Ovis aries: one gene and its partners. The protein of the gene in region 3 interacts with the protein of the main gene of each other region in a pairwise test. Links are inferred from orthologs where the notes say so. Each region holds a gene or a part of one and is shown on either strand. Other genes may lie near its edges.

Region 1 (3,500 bases), on a different chromosome or scaffold from region 3:
CTTGGCGTGTGGGGCAGCAGATCAGCTGCCAGGCGCTGGAACACCTGGGTCTGGTGGAAGCCGAGTTTGCCTTGGGGACAGAGCCTGAGATTTAACTGGTGAGAAGTGGCAGGCTGCGCCCTCACGTGCACCCCACCACCCATCCTGGTCTTAAGGAGTTAAGAGCTTGGTGTCTGTAACCAAATTTATCCCTGAGGCCTAGCACAGAGGATCAGGGCCCATGAGTCACAGTGTTTCTGTAGCAGCCTTTTGGGCCAGTGCCTGCCATGGTTGAGGTAGGCACTGAATTTGACACAGCTGCAGCCAGAACCCTCCCCCTCCCAGCCTCACTCCCCGTGCACAGGGCTCACCATAGGCATAGGCCAGGTCCAGGAGGATGCTTTTAGTCAGGGGGAAGGGCTTCTGGACCAGGTGGTAAGAGATGGCCCGCAGCAAGGGTACCGATCTCCGGTTCTGAGCTGCCAACGTCACCAGCACCTTCCGCAGCTCCTCAGGGCCAAACTGCTCCACCAGCTCCAGGCACTGTCAACCACAGCCGGCAGGGGTCAGCTTGATGGCCCGAGGGCCAGGGGTCCCATGCAGTGCAGGCCCTGCGAGACAGCAACTAGGCCTGAGCTTACTAAACATAGGTCCCATCTGTGCAGGGCCTGCCTCTGCTCCTACCCCAGGGAGTCCCCAGACCGGGTATACTGTGTCCGTAGCCAAACTTATCCCCAGGTCCCAGAGCAGGGGACCCAGGGCCCATGAGCTGCGGAGTTTGCTGTGGCAGTCATCCGGGCCAGCCCCTGCTACCACGGGAACAGGGCTGAATTTGACTAGACTGCGGGGCTGAGGCTGCGGTAGAGCAGGGGGCAGCAGGCATGATGTCTCTAGGAAGCACTAACCAAAGCTGAACTAAAATTTTGTTCAGGCTCTGCAACCCCCTGGATCCTTGAAGGAACCACTGGGCACAAAGTGCTGCCTGCAGCTACCTAAAATGCCAGTCCTGCCAGTGCCATGCCCCAGACTATGGTCAGAAGCCACAAGGCTCTTGTCCCTTAGTACCTTGTCCTCCAGGCGGTTCATCAGAGACTCCGAGAGATGCCCAGTTTTCATCATCATGGCCACCACCGTGCGTCCGTCTTCAATTTCTGCCCAGCGCCGCTCGAGGTGCACAAGCAGCTCAGCCAGCAGCTCCCGGGAGCCCTGCTCCTGCATGTAGGTGGCGCTGGACTCGGCCAGGAAGGCCAGATGCTTGTACTTGAGCCTGCGCATGCGCCAGCGGACCTCCTGCTCCACTGACCGCAGGTCCTTGGAGGTGGCGGGGAGCCCCAGCGTGTAGAGGCTCCGGAGCAGCTTCACGAGGGTCCCATGCCAGACTACAGTTATCTAGGTGGGGAGTGGGGTGGGGCAGGAGAGACACACAGGCAAAGTCACACCTGGGACCTTATTGATCCTGTCATAGAGCAGGCCAAGGCTCTGAGCTGGAGCCTGCCTCCCGAGAACTGGTTATTTTAATGTAGGCATATCTACTGGGCACACCAGGAGGCTCCTTAATAGCCTATCTGGGACTGTTTTCTGCCCACAGCGCTCACCCCGCCTCCAGCTTCATTTCTGAACAAGGGTGACTGCCGGGAGCCAGCGTGAGGAATTCCACCTGTGACAAGGTCATGCGGCAGAGCTCTGATGGCAAGGCTAATCAGACCTCAGGTTTTCCCCCTGGAATTTCCTGAGCACCCACCCCCCCGCCCCCCAAAAATAAGAATCTGCCTGCTTTTTGACTCTTCTAATATTCTCTGGAAAAAGTCAAATCAGGGCGTTAGCCTTCTGTGTTTGAAAGGGATGTTTCAGTTAAACCCCTCTGACAGCTCTCTAGCTTGCCTAACAGGTTCCCCCGGACCTCTTACAGCTTATGAACTGCTTACAGCCCCCCAACCGCAAGAGGCACAGAGCTTAAAGCATCTTAAGATACAGAGCCTTGTCTAAGAGCTAAAAATCATATCGGTGACGGGTTTTCACTGTTGACTCAATGACTGCCACCAGGCCTCCATATTCTTTATCTTTTAGGCACCTGGGAGGATGTTAATCAATGTAAACGGGATATGGAAAAAGATATATAGTAGTTTTGATGTTAGCAACACTAGACTTTTGAGTTAATTACTTCTTTTTTTATATATCACTGCACTCCTCTTGTGTCCTTGCTATGTAAGAATATAACTTTTTTTAGTGCTTTCAGAGAGTGGCACCAGACTTTGGGAAGATCAACGCAAATAAGTCTTCTAGTTAACAAACCCTTATCAGAAAAAAGGCTGTAAAATGTTAATTGGCCCCTTTTTGGCCAGAAGATGATGTAAATCACCTAAGACTTGTGTATACAATTAGGTATGCAGAGAGAAAAGCTTGGTTTTGATGAGTCTGGACTGCTAATGCTGCATTACTTTGTGTTATCCATTGATCTCCATGTTTTATCAAAAGTATAAAAGGCCTTCTGAACAACAGAGGACGGGGCCAGTCGCTGGACTGGTTTTCCCCGTGTCTCCTCTTTACTCTAATTTCAGGCTGAATTCCCATCTGGAGTGGGGCGGCTCACCATGTCTACTTACTTGTCCCGGCTTTTAAGATCCACGCGAAGGGGAGCCCAAGGCGGGGCACCCCCTGATATTCAAGTGGGCACCTGTGGCCCAATGTAGATGGTGCAAGCTCCTTGTCTGGAACTTTATTGGCCTTCCCCATAAGCCAAGTTATTCAGCCTTCTTTCTCCACTTAATTTTCCTACTACACTATTTCTTCCTAATCTAATCTTATATTAATAAATAAATAAGTTCCTTCCTCGCTGACGCCGTCCCCGCTTCGAATTCCCTGGATCCACCGGGGCTGGACCCCGGCAGGTGACCCAGCCATTCCCTGCAGGGTGTGCTTCCAGACCTCAGAGAAACACGAGGAGCCCTCTGGCCCAGACCCCAGCCTCAGGGAAGGCAGCATGTGGTAAATGAGAATGGCTCTGTTGTCTGCTATGCTAAGGCTGTTAACTCTGCCACTCTTCAAGTCTCCAGACTCTTCTGTGAAATGAGGCTGCACTGCCAAGAGAAGGAACTGAAATCATACACACGAGGTGAGGGGCAAACAGAAAAGCAGTTGTGTGAAGGGCTGGGCAGAAGGAGAAAAGTATGGGGATTCCCTGGCAGGGCAGTGGTTAGGACTCCAGCCTTTTACTGCCAGGGTCCTGGGTTCAATCCCTGGTGGGGGATCAACAACCCCACAAGCCAAGGTATGGAGGAAAAAAGAAAAGTAGGCATTTGATCTCAGCATCACATGAGCCTTCAGTGACTTCTGCTGTTTCTGTAGAATTCCCAGACAGTAGGATTCTTTAAAAGAAAGCATGATCAGTTTATATTTCTAAATCCTGGTTCATTATTGGCTTGTAATTTTGCTACAATGTTTAGTCTGTCTCTAAAGCTTTTGCGTAAAAGGTTTAATAAATAACGACTAGAATGACAATCTCAGAACAAGAAGGGATCTAA
Region 2 (3,500 bases), on a different chromosome or scaffold from region 3:
CTTTTCAAGAAAAGAAATATACTGATATATCCATTTTAACATTACCACTAACTATAATTCTGGCCAAAATGGACTACCTTAATAATCTGCCAGATCATAAGCAAAAATGAATTGTTTACGAAGTTTTAATGGCTTAGTTCCTAATAGACTGTTTTACCTTACCTGTAATAGAGTTGACGACAGAACGCAGAATTGTTGGTGGTTTAATCAATTCTTTCAAGATGTTAGATTCAGTAGCCAGTGGAAATCCATTGTCTAGCATTTCTTCCAAGAGCTCATATACTATGACCACATTATCCTTAATTGCAGCCTCCGAACACTCACCAAAGTAGTCCTAATAAAACATACATAGTATTGCACAATGGAAGGCATGAAAAAGGTTTGCTAAATATTTTTTATTCTATTATAAAGGGCATATTTACAGTAGCATAATTCACTGTTTAAGATGTTGAAAATATGTAAACCAGAGGGAAAAAAGCCCTCTATAATTCTATATACGATTTCTCAATATTTTCTTAATATTTTTAGGTTGAACTGAATTCCTACTACAAATTATGCCAGAAAGTACACTGAAATGTTAAAACAGAATAAGAACTATAAACTTCATTTTCCCTGATTAGGTACTCCAAAAGACACAGATCAGTTTTAAACTACTGGTACATTAAGCAAGACAAGACAAAAAATGAAATGTAAGTAATGCAAGATTTCATAACCTATAAAAACTTTGGTGCCATTCAAAGAATTGCATGTGGAGGGCACTATTATTTCCTGATGACATAATTTATAATACATTAAAAAAATACAGTTTCTATGACCAGGAGATTGTTCTGTTCTCTTAAAACAGGGGCAGCCACATGTACTACTTGTATACCCTATTAAAAAGGTTTACGTTTTATGAACTTATGCTTAGTTGGAAAGAAGAGGGACAGAGAGACAGGGAAACAGACTATATATCAAAATTAAAGAATATACTTATGTCCCACCTCCAACTAACTTGAATAATCCAACTTCAAAAGACTTGATGAATAACCAACCTGAAAAGTGTCAGCAACTCGATGTAGGAACTCAATTACAAAGAGAGGTGGTACTTCAGTCTGTATGACGGAGACAAAGAAGAGCTTATCCCGGTAGATACTGATGAGGTAGTGGTGAGGTGTTGAAATAACAGGTGGTACATTTTCAACATCAGCAGCTTTCTCTTGAGCTTCAAAGAAATAATCGCAGACAGACTGGCTCACGACGCTCTTCCAGTGCTTCTCTAGAAATATGTCACCGGAACAGTTTATGAGAAACAGACTGTGGATCATTTTCTGTGGGAGGAAAAATGTTAAAATTTAGTATGTATCAAACAAAAGTATCTTTGTATTATCTGGACACCAAAACCAGACAAAGGCAATTCAAGAAACAGACCAACATCTGTAGACAGAGGTAAAAATTTTCAATAAAATACTAGCAAACTGAATCTAGCAACATATAAAAAAGATCATAAACCTGACCAAGTGGGATTTATGCAAGAATGCAAGGCTGGTTCAAAATAAGAAAATCAATCAATATACAATTCTCATAAAAGACAAAAATATTATTATTTCAAAAGGTACAGAATATCATTTGACAAAACCCAACCACCTTTGTGATAAAAACATTTAAACTAGCAACAGAAAGAAACTTCCTCAGCCTGATAATGAGCATCTGTGAAAATCCTTTAGCTACCATTTAATGCTTAAAGACCAAAAGCTTTCCCTCAATATAAAGAACAAACAATACTCCATTTTCACTACTTCTTTTCAACGTGGTACTGGAGGCTCTAGCCATGACAACCAAGCAAGAAAATGAAACGCTGCAGCTATGTGCGAAAACAGTGTCGAGTTCTTCAAAAAGTTAAAGACAGAGTTACCAAACGACCCTACAATTCTACTTTATACTCAAGAAAACTGGAAACATATGTCCATACAAACACTTGTACACAAATGGTTGTAGCAACATTATTTATAACAGCCAAAGAGTGGAGATAATTCAAATGTATATCAATTGATGAATGGATTCATTAACCAAATAATGGATAAATAATACTGATAGATATCTGAAATAAAATATTTAGCCATAAAAAAGAGTGAAGTACTAGTACATGCTACAGCAGAATGGATCTTTAAACATTATGCTGGCCAGATACAAAAGACCATAGATTGTATGATTCCATTTGTATGAAACGTCTAGAACAGGCAGATCTATAGAGACAGAAAGTAGGTTAGCCGTTGCCAGGGGCCGGGTAGAGGGAGAAGAATGGGGAATTACTGGTTTTACATTTCTTTTTGAGGTGATAAAAATCTTCTAGAATTAGAAATGATGGTTGTACAACTTTGTGACTATACTAAAAACTACTAAACTTCACATTTTTAGAATACTGTGCAGTTTAGTTTTTAGTATTAAAAAAGGTAAGTTTTAATTTATTTTAATTAACACAAAGTATTAATACTCTGCAACACATAAGTCTACCCCCAGATGGATTAACAGAAATATGTACAAATGTACACAACAAACATGCATAAAAATACGCTGTAGTAGTGGAGACTATTACCAGTTATTAACAGTAAATGGGAAAATAAACTAATATATTAAAATGAAACAGCAATGAAAATGATGAATTATTGCTACATGAAACAAAATATGGACAAATCTTACAAATACAATACTGAACAAAGCTAGACACAAAAGGATACATGCAGTATGATTCTATTTATATTAAGTTCTAGAACAGACAAAACTACTCTATAGTTAAGAGAAATCAAATGGTTTCTATTATGAAGGAGAATGGGGTGGTGACTTAAGTGAGGCATAAGGTTGGCCTTCTAAGGTACTGGTAATGTTTTATTTCTTGATCTAGATGATGGTTACAAGTTGTGTTCATTCTGTGTTAATTTATTGGGTTTTATGTTAACAGCTTGAATACTTTCCTGAGTGTTAGTTATACTTCAAATAGAGTTTATTGTCCTTGTAATGTGGGAGACAGTGGACAAATATCTAATTACGTTAACTTGCTCCTTTCTTTTATATGAATAATATCAGTACCAGAAACTTAGTCTAGAGGTTCATTCATTCAAAATTACAGTGCTGAATGATAAATGTAACCTAAGGAGAAAGAATGTAAAATCTATTAATATAGTTTCTAAGCATGAAGACCAATTGCAAAGAGGAAAGGAAGAGTTTCCAGAATGAATTCAATTCTATCAACAGGGAAAACGATGACAACCTGACCAGTTCTTTTCAGAGGAAGTCATTTACTTAATGAAAGCAGTTGACATTTAAAGACTATCTGATGATTTCCTCTTCCCATGTGGTGCATGTTAAATAGTTATTAATTTAAATAATACTAATTAATAAGATGTGCTTTAGTAATTACTGTATTAATAAATATGGGTGCTGTTAATAGTTTAGGCTTCCTATTTATTAGAAAGAGAAAATGTTTCTTTGTTCAAAGGCATCTCTACTTAGCCAAGTAGTCA
Region 3 (3,949 bases):
AAACAGTAGCAAGTCCTGATCAAGGGCTGTCTGCCAGGCAATGTTCTAAACATTTTTACATATTAACAAATCCTTATTAACAAATTCAAAATAACCATCCTTCAAGGAAGATACTATTATTTCTCTCATTTTACGGATCAGAAAACTGAAGCACAGAGAGGCAAAGTGACTTGCTCAAGTAGAACCAGTAAGTGGACAAAGTTAGGACTCAAACTCTTTTCTCTGGTCCAGCTAGTCCTCTGGGCTCTGAATCCCAACAATCGTGCCCAGTGTAGCTATCTGTCCGGTCTCTGAAGCTTACCAGCTCTCTGTTACTCTGGCAGATGTGCTATTCTGCTCAGGGGGCTGGACAGCTGTGTCTCCAAAAGGGACATTCAAATAGGCCAGCGGACTCCGCGACCTTGCAGAAGACCCCACTGCTGCTGCTGCTAAGGCGCCTCAGTCGTGTCCGACTCTCTGCAACCCCATAGACGGCAGCCCGCCAGGCTCCCCCGTCCCTGCGATTCTCCAGGCAAGAACACTGCAGTGGGTTGCCATTTCCTTCTCCAATGCATAAAAGTGAAAAGTGAAAGTGAAGTCGCTCAGTCGTGTCAGACTCCACACCCACCTGGAAAACTCCGCTCTTTGTATCTAGAGTCTGTATCTTGATAGGATCTTAGGACCCACCCAGCCAGTCTTTCAGGTTTCCACGTGGTCTCTCCCCTCCTGGAAATAAGAATAAGCACTCAGCGGGACAGACCCAAGGGGATCCCAACAGTCTTGAATAAGTCTTCCTTACCTTTAAAGTAAGTGTCAGTATTTTTTCTTCAAACATGAATTAGTTCATTCATCCTCAGAAGGATTCTATGAGGTAGGTAACCGTCTTCACTTTCACTGGGGAAGGAGGGAGGAGAGACTGTGCCCTCAGGGATGAGACACCAGCTGTTACCACATCTGCAGATTGTACTTGGAGGTTCCCCCAAGTTCTCCTGGCTGCAGGTGGTCCCGTCAGCCCACCTGCTGGGATTTTAACTCGGCGAGATATTGCGCCCTTTGCGACACAAATCTGGATATTCTCCAGCCGCCCGCCACCCCGCCCCCGCCCCCGCCCCCGGCCCCGCCCCCGCCCCGGCCCCGGCCCGCCCCCGCCCCCGTCCCCGGCCCCGCCCCGTAACTACCTGGGCAGTGGCGCAGTGAAGGCTCAAGCAGCACGACGCCGTCTCCTAGATACCGGGCCGTCGTCACATGACCTACTCACGTGACCCCCCCCCCACAGCCCAGCTGGGGTTGGAGCTCTGGCAAAGGGCAGCCGGCGGGGCGGGGCTGGGCAAGTTTGTTTCCCGAGTTCGGAGACCAGGAGCCCCCGCGGTTGTGGCGCAGGTGCTGTCCGGTTGGGTCGCGATGGAGCTGCCAGCCGTGAACCTGAAGGTGGCGATGGGCGGGGCGGGTCTCCCGGAGCGTGTTGGGTATTTGCGCTTTTAGTAGGTGATTTTAGAGGTGAGGATTTTAGAGGTAGAGGACCGAGAATCTGGGGAAAGTGGAGTGGTGGGGAGAAAGAGAACGAACAGAGCCCAGGTGTAAGGAGGTGGGCGGACAGACCATACCAGGAAGACAGATCCAGAAGGCCAGCAGGAAAGACCGAGAGGGAGCTGGAGGAGGGAAGCAGCCGTCTCTTCCCTAAGACCGGTTCAGCTGGGAGCGCTGAGCCCCTGAGGCTCGCTTTGGCCTGCGCGCCCAGAATTTCTCTGGAGAAAGAGGAGAGCGTGGTGGGGAGGGACCCAAGGAGAGCCCGAGGCTGGACTTGGAGGCAGGACACCTGCCTTCCACCGAGAGAGGGGTAAAGCTTTCACCTGGACCCCCAACACTGCCCTTACCGCCTCTCTTGTTGGGAAGATCAAGTTAAGGAAATCAAATGATCCCAGACAGATGGTTTTTCAGAGTTGATAGATTCAACGTCTTTATTTCTTAAGCAACACAGACACCAATAGAATTTACTCAAAAGCAGAATCCCCCAACTTTGCACATTTAGGAAAACACTGTAGGTCGCTGGGGTGTCTTCATTTCCTGAGCTGTAAGAATGCCAAAGGCTGTTCTTCTTTTTCTCCCCGCCCTCCTCCAGCCCAGTGTTTCTTGGCTGGGTTTGCCACTGAGAGGCTGAAGCCTTTAGCTTTGGTCAGAAAGGTTTTAGCCTTGGACCAGACCTGCCATCTGCGGCCTAGGTACAGTTTCCTTTGAGATTGTATGCAGGAGTACCCTCTTATTCACCCTTGACAAAGCATTATGCACCCATGGTGTCTGGTCCTAAAGTAAGAGATAGATGACTACAGAACAATACATCATCCATATTTGGATTATTAGACATGGTCTGTGTTGTGACTTCACGTGGGCACATTTCCTTAATATTGAACACTTGCTTCAGCAGACCTCTCCGAGGCTTCCAGTCAACTGCTGCAGGGGGAGAGATGGCTGTGACAAGGGAATGGGCTTGGATTGAAGGTTTAGCAGGGAAGAAATTTACACGAGGGCAACTGAGGTTCATTGGTATCAACATTCACTCTGTTCCAGGCTGTGTGCAGTTAATGCCGACTACCTTTTCTCTGATTAGAGACTTGCCTAAAATAATTATTAAGGGGGAAGGAGGAAAGGGACAGAGGAGCAGGAACTGACGAGGGAGTGAGCCCTAATTCTTAGGGCGTCTGTGGTGTGCCGGGTTATTTATTTAGTCGTATCAACCTTCTGAGATTTTTGTAGCTGAGCCAACTTCAGCTCAGACCAGATAGGTAACTTGTCAAGGCCCCACAGAGATTAAGTGGCAGAGTCAGAATTTGAACCCATCACGGTCAGACTTCAAAGCTCTGTCTTTTCCTGGCCACCATTAGTTAGGGCCAACTTCTGCTTTGACAGTTAGTGCCCAGTGGGAGGGCTTAGTCTGTTTGTGGCTTTTTTTTTTTTTTTTTTTGGAGAAACTTTGTGGGCCTCACAGGCCACACGTGACCACAGATGTGAGCTTTGCCGGCTTTCACTGCCCACAGTGAAATAGCTGGTCCTTTCTTTGACTTGGGAAATAAAACACCATATCTCTAAGGGTCTTAGCTGCTACCAATCAGAGACAAGTAAGTGCTGAGAGGTCGTGAACAGCTAGGGTTGCCAGGTGACATTGAGGACATCCAGTTGAGTTTGAATTTCATATCAACAATGAATAACTTTTTAATCTAAGTATGAAAAGTGAAAGTCATTCAGTCGTGTCCAACTCTTTGTGACCCCAGGGACTGTACAGTCCATGGAATTCTCCAGGCCAGAATACTGGAGTGGGTAGCCTTTCCCTTCTGCAGGGGATCTTCCCAACCTAGGGATCGAACCTAGATCTCCCACATTGCAGGAGGATTCTTTACAGCTGAGCCACCAGGGAAGCCCCAGGATACTGGAGTGGGTTATCCTATCCCTTCTCCAGTGGACCTTATATCCCAGGCAATATTTGGAACAGTCTAGAAAATTATTCATTATCTGAAATTAAAGATTAACTAGGGGTTCTGTTTTTGTTGTTGTTTTTTCTGGCCTCCCACAGGAGTCTAAGTGGGCTATTCTGAGATCAGAACCCCTTGGGAGCTCAGAAAATGCCCAACCCCCCAACCCTGCACTACCCTTGCCCTCCTTTCACACATTCCTGGGGTATTGGCTCAGTGCCTGCTTGTGCCCAGCCCACCCACAGTAGGCAGTGGTGCCAGGTGAACAGAAGCAGCTGCCCCGGGCCCTCCAGGTAGTTCCTAACCCAATGCCACACATGAGGCAAGTCCTGAGCTGAAGGAACGTCATTGTGAGAGTTTAGAAAGTTCTAGACTTGGGTTCATGAGGGCTTGTGAGAAAAGGCCCTTGGGAGGAGGGTGCAGGGGGTTAGTATAGCATGAGGGTTAAGAATTCCGGAACCTGACTGCACAATAGTCAGGGACTGCCTTGTCTCGGGGCTTCCCAG

What was found. The genes of interacting proteins can lie anywhere in the genome.
Region 1: the proteins of AGTRAP (region 3) and TBRG4 interact in binary tests that used the Homo sapiens proteins (3 or more experiments, as listed by UniProt). The two-hybrid records come from large-scale screens. The link is inferred for Ovis aries from reciprocal best matches to the Homo sapiens genes AGTRAP and TBRG4.
Region 2: the proteins of AGTRAP (region 3) and AP3M1 interact in binary tests that used the Homo sapiens proteins (3 or more experiments, as listed by UniProt). The two-hybrid records come from large-scale screens. The link is inferred for Ovis aries from reciprocal best matches to the Homo sapiens genes AGTRAP and AP3M1.

The regions. Positions count from the first base shown.
Region 1 is NC_056057.1:78,192,449-78,195,948, reverse strand, and holds part of TBRG4 (FAST kinase domain-containing protein 4), read right to left. Parts: intron 1,369-3,500; coding exon 1,045-1,368; intron 826-1,044; exon of another isoform or gene 690-825; intron 523-689; coding exon 351-522; intron 303-350; exon of another isoform or gene 168-302; intron 71-167; coding exon 1-70. UniProt on the Homo sapiens protein: Plays a role in processing of mitochondrial RNA precursors and in stabilization of a subset of mature mitochondrial RNA species, such as MT-CO1, MT-CO2, MT-CYB, MT-CO3, MT-ND3, MT-ND5 and MT-ATP8/6. May play a role in cell cycle progression.
Region 2 is NC_056078.1:29,219,160-29,222,659, forward strand, and holds part of AP3M1 (AP-3 complex subunit mu-1), read right to left. Parts: intron 1,311-3,500; 5' UTR 1,308-1,310; coding exon 1,035-1,307; intron 335-1,034; coding exon 163-334; intron 1-162. UniProt on the Homo sapiens protein: Part of the AP-3 complex, an adaptor-related complex which is not clathrin-associated. The complex is associated with the Golgi region as well as more peripheral structures.
Region 3 is NC_056065.1:41,204,312-41,208,260, reverse strand, and holds the start of AGTRAP (type-1 angiotensin II receptor-associated protein), read left to right. Parts: upstream 1-1,149; 5' UTR 1,150-1,224; coding exon 1,225-1,359; exon of another isoform or gene 1,360-1,380; coding exon of another isoform or gene 1,381-1,407; intron 1,408-3,949. UniProt on the Homo sapiens protein: Appears to be a negative regulator of type-1 angiotensin II receptor-mediated signaling by regulating receptor internalization as well as mechanism of receptor desensitization such as phosphorylation.